Linked DNA regions of Sus scrofa. The protein of the gene in region 1 interacts with the protein of each later gene in a biochemical or structural test. Links are inferred from orthologs where the notes say so. Each region holds a gene or a part of one and is shown on either strand. Other genes may lie near its edges.

Region 1 (5,169 bases):
AAAGTCAAGTCATTAATATATTAGGGCTTTCTGTGGCTTTTTTTCCTTTTCTCAAAGTTCTCTTACTGGCATCCAAGGCCTGTTTTAGTGTGAGCAACTTCTGCTCTTTCCCTCAGCAGCTGCCCCGACCCTACCTGGCACCTTCTATCCGTCCTTGCAAAACCCACTTCCCTTAGTAAGCCGGGACCCAACACTTAAAAGAGTTTTCAGCTCCTGTTTTCATATTAAATTGGCCCTCCTTATCCAAGGATTGGGCCAATTATATAGATCAAGGGGAAAAGAAATCCCCAGAAGTTCCAAAAAGCAAAACATGAATTTGCTGCACACAAGCAAATTTACATAGCATTTACGGTGTATTTACATCTATTTACATAACATTTACATGGTATTAGGTATTGTAAGTAATCTAGAGATGATTTAAAGACTACAGGAGAATATGAGTAGGTAGGTTATATGAAGCATATGGAGGTTCCCAGGCTAGGGGTCTAACCAGAGCTGTAGCCACTGGCCTACACCACAACCACTGCAACGCCAGATTTGAGCTGCATCTGCGACCCACACCACAGCCCATGGCAATGTCAGATCCTTAACCCACTGAGTGAGGCCAGGGATCAAACCTTCATCCTCATGGATGCTAGTAAGATTCGCTTCTGCTGAGCTACGAGAGGAACTGCCACTATGCCATTTTAGATAAAGAACTTAAGTATCCTAGGTTTCTGGTATCCTAGAGGAATCTTGGAACCTCCCCTGCCCCAGGACACCGTGGGATGACTGTACCAGCTACTGTTTACTTAGCACCCACTACAGGCCAAGCTCCCTACGTCATTTCACTCAATCCTCATTCAACTCTGTGAGGTGTGTTGTTAACCTCATCTTCTATATTGGCTTACCCTGTGAGGTATCTGTTCAAATAGTGAACTTTTTTTTTTTTTTTTGTCTTTTTAGGGCCACACCCATGGCGTCTAGAGGTTCCCAGGCTAGGTAGGGGTCTAATCAGAGCTGTAGCTGCCGGCCTACACAGCCAAAGCAACTCCAGATCTGTGCTGCATCTGCAACCTACACCACAGCTCACAGCAACTCCGGATCTTTAACCCACTGAGCGAGGCCAGGGATTGAACCTGCAACCTCATGGTTCCTAGTCGGATTCATTTCCACTGGTCCAGGACGGGAACTCCTGAACTTTCTTCCTAATAAGAATCCCTGAAGGGGAGTTCCCGTCACAGCGCAGTGGTTAACGAATCTGACTAGGTACCATGAGGTTGTGGGTTCGATCCCTGCCCTTGCTCAGTGGGTTAACAATCCGGCGTTGCCATGAGCTGTGGTGTAGGTCGCAGACACGGCTTGGCTCCTGTGTTTCTGTGGCTCAGGCGTAGGCTGGCAGCTACATCTCCGATTGGACCCCTAGCCTGGGAACCTCCATATGCCGCTGGAGCGGCCCTAGAAATGGCAAAAAGACAAAAAAAAAAAAAGAATCCCTGAAGGGAGTGTGCACAGGAAGACCCCACACTTTGTTGTATTTTTGTACTGCACAGTGTGCATCTGTGCAGCACACTCCCTCCTTTAGCCACAGCAGAGAGAGCCTGCAGTCCAAAAAACATCTAAAATTTTCAGATCAAACAGACTCTTGAAGTTGAGTCTTACTCACCTCACACCCCCACCTCCCCAACAGTGGCCGGGCACAGGTGGGTGCTCATTAATTTATTAACTTCGCGGTCCTAAAAAAGTTGCAGCAGCCATTCTGGGGGGGGGGATCCCCCTTCATCAATCTTTGGCAGTAGCTCTGAAAAAGCTCAAGATACAACTCAAAAGCCACCACTGCCTTAGTAAAACACTCCTTTCTCTCAGCTCCCCAGAGAGAAGCAACTCCAGCATCCTGTCCCTATTTCTAACTGGAACTATCAGTCTTCATCATTTACAGGTTTCCCCAACAAGACAGTGTGGTTGGTAGAAGCACACTCTTAACATTTCTATTTTCCACACTGAGATGAAGGTGCTCATAAAAATGTATTAAACAACCAATTTCATTGTTTTAGGCAGGATAATAATTGGCACTTTGGCGCAAAAGCAATCACTACTACTAACTCCTCAATTAAAATGAAAACCATCTGCTTCCCACGTATGCATGTAGACTGTCTTTCCCAGGAAGAATCCTGACAAAAATGACCCTGTTCTCCCAGCATGACCTTCAGCACCTCCAGCACAGACCATCTAAAGATCTGAAGGAAAAGGGCCGCTTTCCTTCTGTGATGGGATTCCCCTAGCTGAAGAAGGGAGGGCAGTTTCTACCACGGGATGAGACTCCACTGGGAACTGCTGGAAAACCACAACCATTACTCAGGCCAGACAGCTGCCAAGGAAGCAGCACTGCCTCGGAATTGAAGCTAAAATAGAGGTGGGAGGGTTGTATTCCATTACTAAGCCCTGGAGTATTCACTCCCAAGTTCATCCACGTTTCAAGAATGTTAAAACCCTGTAGGCAAAACCCTGATTATTTATAACTTAAACTACTGTGTAAAGCAGAAACTTGACAAATGAAAACATAAAAGAAAAGGAACTGGTGACAGGTAAGATAATACCAGAATACAAAGTATTCATCACTCCCTTTTTGGGGGGTCCTCCAAAACCCTATCTCCATTCCCTGCCACAAATAACTTTTACTTATACTGCCGACTAAAAGAGATTGAAAGGGAAAATGAGGATTCCCATCTCCAAAGAGTCGTCAGTTCGTCTCATGCACACATGCTCTAACTTTGCATCAATTACAGAATAACTGGTTTGAAACTAAGAAGGAAAACTCAAAAGCAAACAACAGGCGACATAACAAGCTCAACGAGATGCCTCAAAGGTAGCAGGGATCCAAAACAGAGTTCAAGAGAGTTTCCCCTACTCGCGACTGAAAACCAAGTGACTTCATAGAACAGAGAAAAAGATTCAGGAATCCTGGAGGCCCTGACCCAGCACCTCTGCCGGCGAAACCTACTCCCTGCCCTCAACTCCACCTCCGGATGGAAGAATCCCAGCCACCTACAGCGCATCCGGGAAGCCCACCACGCGCTCCTAAGCTCTCTCCTCGCGACCCTTCTCCCAACCGAGCGGGACGCCAGACGGCACTTACATGGAGCCAACTTGACATCTCCCGCCTGGGTGGAAACCCGCGATCTCCTCGCACCGGCATTTTCGGGCGCGGGTCTCTCATGGACGCACCAGTCCCGAGCCCCGCTCCTCCTGATACTCCGGGCGGCAGGTCAGTTCTCAGTCCGTCAGCCGCGTTTTGCCTGGGTGACGGCCCCACGGGGACCCACCCCTTTGTCCCTCCTCCCGCGGCCGCGGCGGCTGCGGCGTCCGCCCGCCCCCGGCCGCAGGCAGCGCCTCTGCGCCGGCCGCCGGCCCGGGAAACTCTGAAAAGGGCCGCTACCACCCCCGCGCGGCCCGGGGGAAGGCTTGCCAGCGCCGCGCCCCTCAAGTCCCCACCGAGGGTTCGGGCTCGCGCGACTCCCCGCCAGGGACGGAAGAGGGTGGAGGCAACAGGCAGACACCGAGGCCCCAGCTTACCGCGCCCCCCACGTCCGAACCTCCCCCCTCTCCGGCCGGCCGGATGGTTCGCTCCGCGGCATGCACAGGGCCTCAGGTCCCGCTCCCGCCCCGCGCGTGCGAGGGAAGCGCTGCAAGTTTGCTTGCAGCGGTAAGTGTGGGGTGGCGAGTTAGTCAGCAGGTTCTCCCATTAGAGATCCTGTAAGAATGCTTTTTGGAGACTTTTGCAGCGCCCCCTCCTCGGTTCTCTTCCGAAAGGAAGAACCCGGGAAACCCCGAAGTTTTTGCTGTCTTGCCTAGAGGCTGGCAACACAGGGCACTGTACCCCAGGTTTTTCAGCTCAACAATTCCCCGAATTCCGAGGGTATAAGATGTTCATGTTAAAGAATAAAACATGATTTTTGAGGGAAATATACGCCAGGTTATCTCTTTGGCACATTTCCAACAACTCTAATAAAGAGATGGAAACTCCTCTCTCATCACTAGCTTTTAAAAGGCTTTTTTTTGAAAAATAGGTTACAAATACTTATCAGGCAGGATTCATCAAATTCAACTCAGTACATTTATTTGTTTTAGAGTCCTCTATACGAAGAAATGTGCACAATAAATAAAATCTTATTTGGGGAGTTCTCAGAGTGGCACAGCAAGTTAAGGATCTGGCATTGTCATTGCTGTGGCTCTGTCCCTATCCCATGCCAAGGGCACAGCCCCAAAATTTTTTTTTCCTTGTTTTAAGGTAATGTAAGTTATTTGGAAAATCAAGACAGGTGCACTGATGTAAAAAAATAAAACTTTGGGTTTGGACTCTAAGGAAACCACACTGTAAGAAAAAAAAAATGTGGCCATCCTGCTCTTCTAAATTGAAAAGCAAAACTCGGCCCAGGCTCCCAAGAAGGTAAAAGGTAAAAGGTCAAAATGGATCCACTGACGAAATGCAGATGCCCGGCTCTCTCCCTAAAAAGTTGCTTCACTTCCTGCCTAATCAAAACAAGTTTGGCAGTTTATGTGGAAAAACAAGTCCAGCAGATGCCTCTCTGAAAGTGTTAGGCTTCTGGCCTCCTTTGGAGTAGCTAAGTGCATGACTCTGAATAAAAAGCACTGTGAGTAATATTTCCCATTTTCATTCAAGTGTTCAGAATTAGACATTTCGGTTGTATTTCTGATGTAAGGTGTTACTCTCCTGATGAAAGCACTATTTAAAAAAAAAAAAATCTTTTCCAAAATAGATGTTGCTGACTAATAATAACAGTGGCAGCATTTGTGAACTGGTCACACCTTAGTGACATGAGCTGATACCACTAAAATTTAAAAAGGATAAAAAAAGCCAGAATGTAACAATTATATCTGCTGAGTGATTTCCTTTTTCTCTCCAGAATTGTGCAGTCCAATATGATGACCACTTGCCACATGTGAATATTGACTACATTTAAATTTAACTAAAATTAAATAAAATGAAAATTTCAGTTTTCTTAATCACATTAGCCACATTTCTAGGGCTCAGTTAGTAGCCACATGTGGCTAGTGGCTACCATATTGGACAGTGTAGATATAGACTATTTCCATTGTCACAGAAAGTTCTATTACACTACTCCAAATGATGACATTCTTCCATAGTACAAATAACAAAATTCTCACAAT
Region 2 (5,173 bases), on another chromosome or scaffold:
GAGGCTGGAAAGTCCAAGATCCAGGCCCCTGCCTCATCCTACTCTGGTAAGAGCTCTCTTCCTGGCTCATGGTCAGGCCTTCTTGCTGTGTCCTTACACAGCAGAAGGGGCAAGGGCTATCTCTGCGGCTGCCTTTGTCAGGGCACAAATCCCATTTAGGACGCCTCTGCCCTCGTGTCCTGACTGCCGCACCTCAGGGAGGGGACACAGGTGTGCCTTCAGCCTCTGACAAACATTTCCAGCCAGGTTGGCAGGCCCTGGGGCCAGAGAGTTTGACAGGTTCTCTGGGGTCTGATCGCCCTTTGTTTTTCGCCAGGCAGGGCTCTAGAGACTCTGGAGCTGGAGACTATGGAGCCATAATCACTTCGTCTCTGGGGGTGGGGTTCAGGGGCCTGCTTGGTTTAATATTCCATTGCTGCTATCTTAAAATTGTTAGCAATTTTTGGAGTTCCCATTGTGGCACAGTGGGTTCAGAATTCAACTGCAGCAGCTTGGGTCACTGCAGAGGTGCAGTGTGTTCAAGGATCCTGTGTTGCCACAGCTTCGGTATAGGTCACAGCTGTGACTCAGGCTGCATTCTTGGCCTGGGAGATTTGACAAGCTGTGAGTGTGGGCATCAAATGAAAAAAAAAAAAAAAAAAACAAAAAACTGAAAACCTGTTAGTAATTTTTCAACAAGGGGCATCATAAATTGAGTAGCTGGTACTTGAGTGAAGAGATGAGTATACAAAATTATGGAGCATAATCCTTTAACTATGTCTTTTGTTAGTTCAAACAAGTATTTATTGATTGAATACTATGTTCTAAGGTAGCTAAGTGTAGCTGGAGGAAGCCACAGCCACTCCATGTAGGGGAGACCACAGGAGCAAAAGCTCTGAAGATGGAAACAGCATGGACTGTGGCTGGACAAGAATGGCCTCATTAAGGTTACAGTGGGCACTTGCACCTACAGAGAGTAACTGGGCCCCGCCTAGGGGATGAGCCTTGTGCTGGGTGCTGTAGGAGATACAGCTGCTGCCCTCCAGGAGTTTGCATTTCCTGGGAAAGGGAGATTTGAGTAGAAAAAGGTAAACATGCTGAGGGCAGGTCTCCCTAGCACCCTGTTCAGAGCTCAGCCCAAAACGAACAGTGGATACTGCTGTCATGCATAATTTTGGACTTAATAGACCAGTGCAGAAATCAACTCGTTCGTCATCCCATGATGGAGAAGGAAGTCATACCAGACTGAGAGTGTAGTATTTTTGGTTTTGTTTTGTGGTTTTTGGGGGGAGCGTTCAGTAGAAAGATAAGGAAGGAAGAGTGGGAATGAAATTCCCTAAATGGCCAGAGGGATAGGGATAGAAGCCAGGTCCTTCAAATGTGCGTGTGTGGGGAGGGGGACAATCTCAGGAGGTGATGCTCCTGTCACAAGCCTCTTGTTCTCCATCAGGAAGGCTGTTGGGTTTACCCATCTGTCAAGCGACCGGCTGAGTTGGGTGATTGCTAGGAGGCTTTCCCATCGCACATTATGAGGTCCCTGGAATTGGATTCGAGTTGCACTCTGCCTCAAGGTGTGAGGCTTCAGTTTTTCCTTCCGTAAAGCCAGGGAATGGGCCTGGAGCTCTTTTCTGGAAGCCTGTGCCCCGGGAACACCTGTGGCACTCGGAAGTCTGCGCCGCCGGGCCGCCGGGTCCCAGGGGCATCAGCGGGAGGTGGGGCCAGAGCGGGCGGTGCCCGGAGACTCACCTGTGCGCCGCGCGCTGACTCACCTGCCCTCCCCAGCTGGCGGGCTGTTCCAGGCACCCGCGCTCCTCCCTCCGCTCGGGGGTGGGGGTCTCTCCCGGCCAGAGTGCCCACTAGGGGCTTGGCAAGAAGAACCTCGAGGGTCAGGGGCAGAGAGCAAGAGGGCCTCTGGGGGGTCCGGGCCTGGCGGACCAGGCGCTCCGGGTCAGGGGCCACCCTGGCCAGCGGGGTGGCAGCGGGAGGCGCCGGGAAGAGCGCGCCGGAGGGAGGTGCCGGGAAGGGCGGGCGGGGCCCGGGACGCGGGGCGGGGGCGCCGGGCGGCCCATTTCCTCCCTGGAGCCGGACAGGGGCAGACAAAGCGGCGGCCGTTGGCTTCGGGCCTCGGGAATCTTCCTGCCTCGCCTCGCTCGCCGCAGGTAATTGCCTTCGCGCGGGTGTGGGCGCCCCTCGCTGGGCAGGGGGCTCCTCGGGCGGGCGGCCCGGGCGGTCCCCTTTGCGACCCCGCCTGGCCTCGGGCTCCGGGTGGGCGCCGCTGCGGCCTCCGGCCCGCTCTCGCCGCGGGGCCCCGGGCCTGGGCCCTGGTGGAGCGGGCGGGGCCGGCGCTTACTGGCGCTCGGGAAGTTGAGGGCCCGCGGCGGCCGGAGCAGCGCGAGCGGCAGGCCCCGCGCCGCCGCGGCGCCTGCTCTCGGGAAAGTTTCTCCGGGCTTGGAAACTTTGTTCGAGTAGCCTCGGTGCGCGCGCCAGGCCCGCGCTGAGCCCGCTCGGCCGCCTTCCTCGAGGGCAAGAGTCCGTGCGTGGTTCCGCGGGCGGGCGGGCGGCGGCGTTGCGTTTTCCGGGGAAGCGAGTGAGGTCTGTGGTTTCTGGCATCGCACCCCTCCCCCCGCCACCGAAACTTGCCGGTCAGGTGGACGGGGCGGCTGCTGGGCCCGCACCCTCGCGTTCCCGGCCCGAGCGCATGTGCGAGTTTGCGTGTCCCTTTCTCGGACACAGTCTGGCTGGGAAGGGGCGCCACACCCGTGTGGACTTTTGGCGTGTACATGTGAACCTTTGTTGTGAAATTCCTCGGACTTCTGTGCTGTGTAATTGGACGCCCTGAACTCTAATTAGTTCTGGTTTGCACGAGGGACGTTGGAATCTTTTTTTTGTTGATTTCTAAAGGGGTGTGTTTGTGTGGGAGAGGGAGAGAGAGAGAGAAAGGGAGAGAGAGAGAGGGAGAAACACTTGTTGGAAAAAATGTTGTCTGAATGCCTACTAACCTTGGTGTGGCAGGAATGGCTTCCCAATAATGCAGGCGGCAGTTGGCTCCAATCCAGGACTGAAACCCTATTATGTCCCTCTGCGTCTTTGCAACATTTTTTGGTGTTTGCTTTGTACAGAATTTACAATAATCTAGAAAAGAGTAAGGTATGTTCACTCTCTAGATTATTAAGGCGTTTCTTATGTGTGTTGAAGGAAGTGATTACATCACTGTATTGTTGCAACAGGATAGGCATTTCCATGGGAGGATCGTATGTTTAGCAGTGATTTTTGAAGATTGTATAGGTGTGTGTCACTTTAGGAAAGTGTGGATTTGTAAATCACCTTAGTGAGGATGTGGTACTTTAATCCATAGCTTTTGTCCAGTGATTTACTCTTTCTGACTTTTATCAAATTACAAAAATCATTTTTATCCACTTTCTTAAGGGCCCACAGTTGATTAAGAAATAGTCTCTGCCCCAAGAACCCACCGTGTAATAGGGAAGGGACACACAGCTTGGGTGTAGTGCAAGGCCGATGGCGATATGAACCACAACAGTAATGACCAAAAACTTGTGCGTGGGTCACACCTTACGTAATAATAATGATAAGAGAAACTCGTGGAATTGTGCAGGGGGATCTAGTAAGTTTTGTTTGGATAAGACCAGAGGGCTTCCAGGAGGGGACGGGCATTTGAACTGGTTAGAGCAGCAGTGGGGTTTTGTCGGGAAGAAGCATGAAAGGGCATAAAGGCGTTTGTGGAATTGGATTATAAATCTCTCCTGGTTTTCCTTATACTTTTGGCTCTTGTTTCTTAATCTTTCTGTTGTTGTTCAAACCACTTATATCCAAGATTCTAACGTATCTCAGCCCTTCACACCACTGATGTGGCATCATTCTCCCACCACCAGTCACATCTTTTTCCAGGGGTGACCTAGAGATCGGGGTGCCCTCTCCCGGGTTGAGGATCACTTCTGTACAGTCTCCCTGTCATCAAATGTAAGCTGAAGTCCAACACTTTGTGGGCTAAAGCTAAAGCTTCTATTTTGAGTGCAGATGTCTTAGCTCACCCACATGGTCAGCTGTGCATCAGAGATCTCCTTCAGTGTCCAGGGGCTTCGCAAACTCTGCAGGACCAAAATGAGATAAGTGACCTAACCTAGATATGGAGATGGGCAGTAACTGGCAGAGTTGAGGGATTTCTGAAAAGGAACAATAGTTAGTGACGGGACAGGCAGACCTGGATATTGGGGGTGGTGGTGGAGAGTCCTCTGATCTTAAAGGTCCTGAGATAGCAAAAAACTCCTTGTGTTTAGAGACCTAAGAGAAGGTTCGTGTAGCTTGGATGCATGCTTTGGGGGTAGGAAGGAGCCCTGGCATGAGATTGCCAGGGAACTCCAGGTCACGTGCCTGGATTTTATTCTAAGAGCTGTGAGAAGCCATTGTAGGAAGTTTCAAGATCTGATTTCCTTTTTAGGAAGATCACTCCTGCTGGTGCCTGCAAGGCTTGTGTTTGTGCACTAGTAGAAGTAGGAGGTTGATCCAGGAGGATGGTAGGAGTGAGGTGGTGGGGCTAAAGGGAGCTGTACTTTGGAGAAACGAGATAAGCCTTAGGGAAGGATTGGATGCAGCGGCCTAGGCCCTAGGCGGGTCTGTTGGTTTGTTGTTTCCTCATTGCTGCTCCTCCTCTGCTCCCACACCCAGTTTGGATTCCATCACTTACATGAGCTTTTAGTCATATCTCAAGTCCCCCTTAGCACTTTTCTGTCTGGTAGCAAACCTCTTCTCACCAGGTACATGGCACTTGATCTTATTACTGATATGCCTGTTGGCCTTTCTTGATAGAAGGTGAGCCTTGAAGGCTGATAGCCTTAGCCTTTGGCGTGTACCTGGCCTGGAGATGTTTAAAAAAAAAATAGAAGCATGTTGAATGAAGGATAAAAAGAGTCTTTTTTCTTCTGGAGTCTGGTTTATGAGTGGAACTCTGACAGATGAGAGGACAGTCAGATAGTGGAGGGCCTGGAATACTGGACCAAGAGACATCTCCAAGCCTTTCTTTAAACCTAGATCTGATCAGATGAAGTCCTTTCCTTCCTCTCTCCTCTTAGCATGAATTCCTTTTTGCCCTTCTCTCTGCTTCCACAGTAGTTTATTTATCAGTATTATTATTTTTGCTTTTTTTTTTTTTTTTTTTTTTTTTTTTTTAGGGCTACAC

Evidence for each region.
Region 2: the proteins of TJP2 (region 1) and CTNNA1 form a complex in vitro, tested with the Homo sapiens proteins (2 studies listed by BioGRID and IntAct, with this or other methods). The link is inferred for Sus scrofa from reciprocal best matches to the Homo sapiens genes TJP2 and CTNNA1.

What each region holds. Positions count from the first base shown.
Region 1 is NC_010443.5:222,522,953-222,528,121, reverse strand, and holds the start of TJP2 (tight junction protein ZO-2), read right to left. Parts: upstream 3,371-5,169; 5' UTR 3,197-3,370; coding exon 3,116-3,196; intron 1-3,115. UniProt on the Homo sapiens protein: Plays a role in tight junctions and adherens junctions. Acts as a positive regulator of RANKL-induced osteoclast differentiation, potentially via mediating downstream transcriptional activity.
Region 2 is NC_010444.4:140,680,783-140,685,955, forward strand, and holds the start of CTNNA1 (catenin alpha-1), read left to right. Parts: upstream 1-1,993; 5' UTR 1,994-2,138; intron 2,139-5,173. UniProt on the Homo sapiens protein: Associates with the cytoplasmic domain of a variety of cadherins. The association of catenins to cadherins produces a complex which is linked to the actin filament network, and which seems to be of primary importance for cadherins cell-adhesion properties.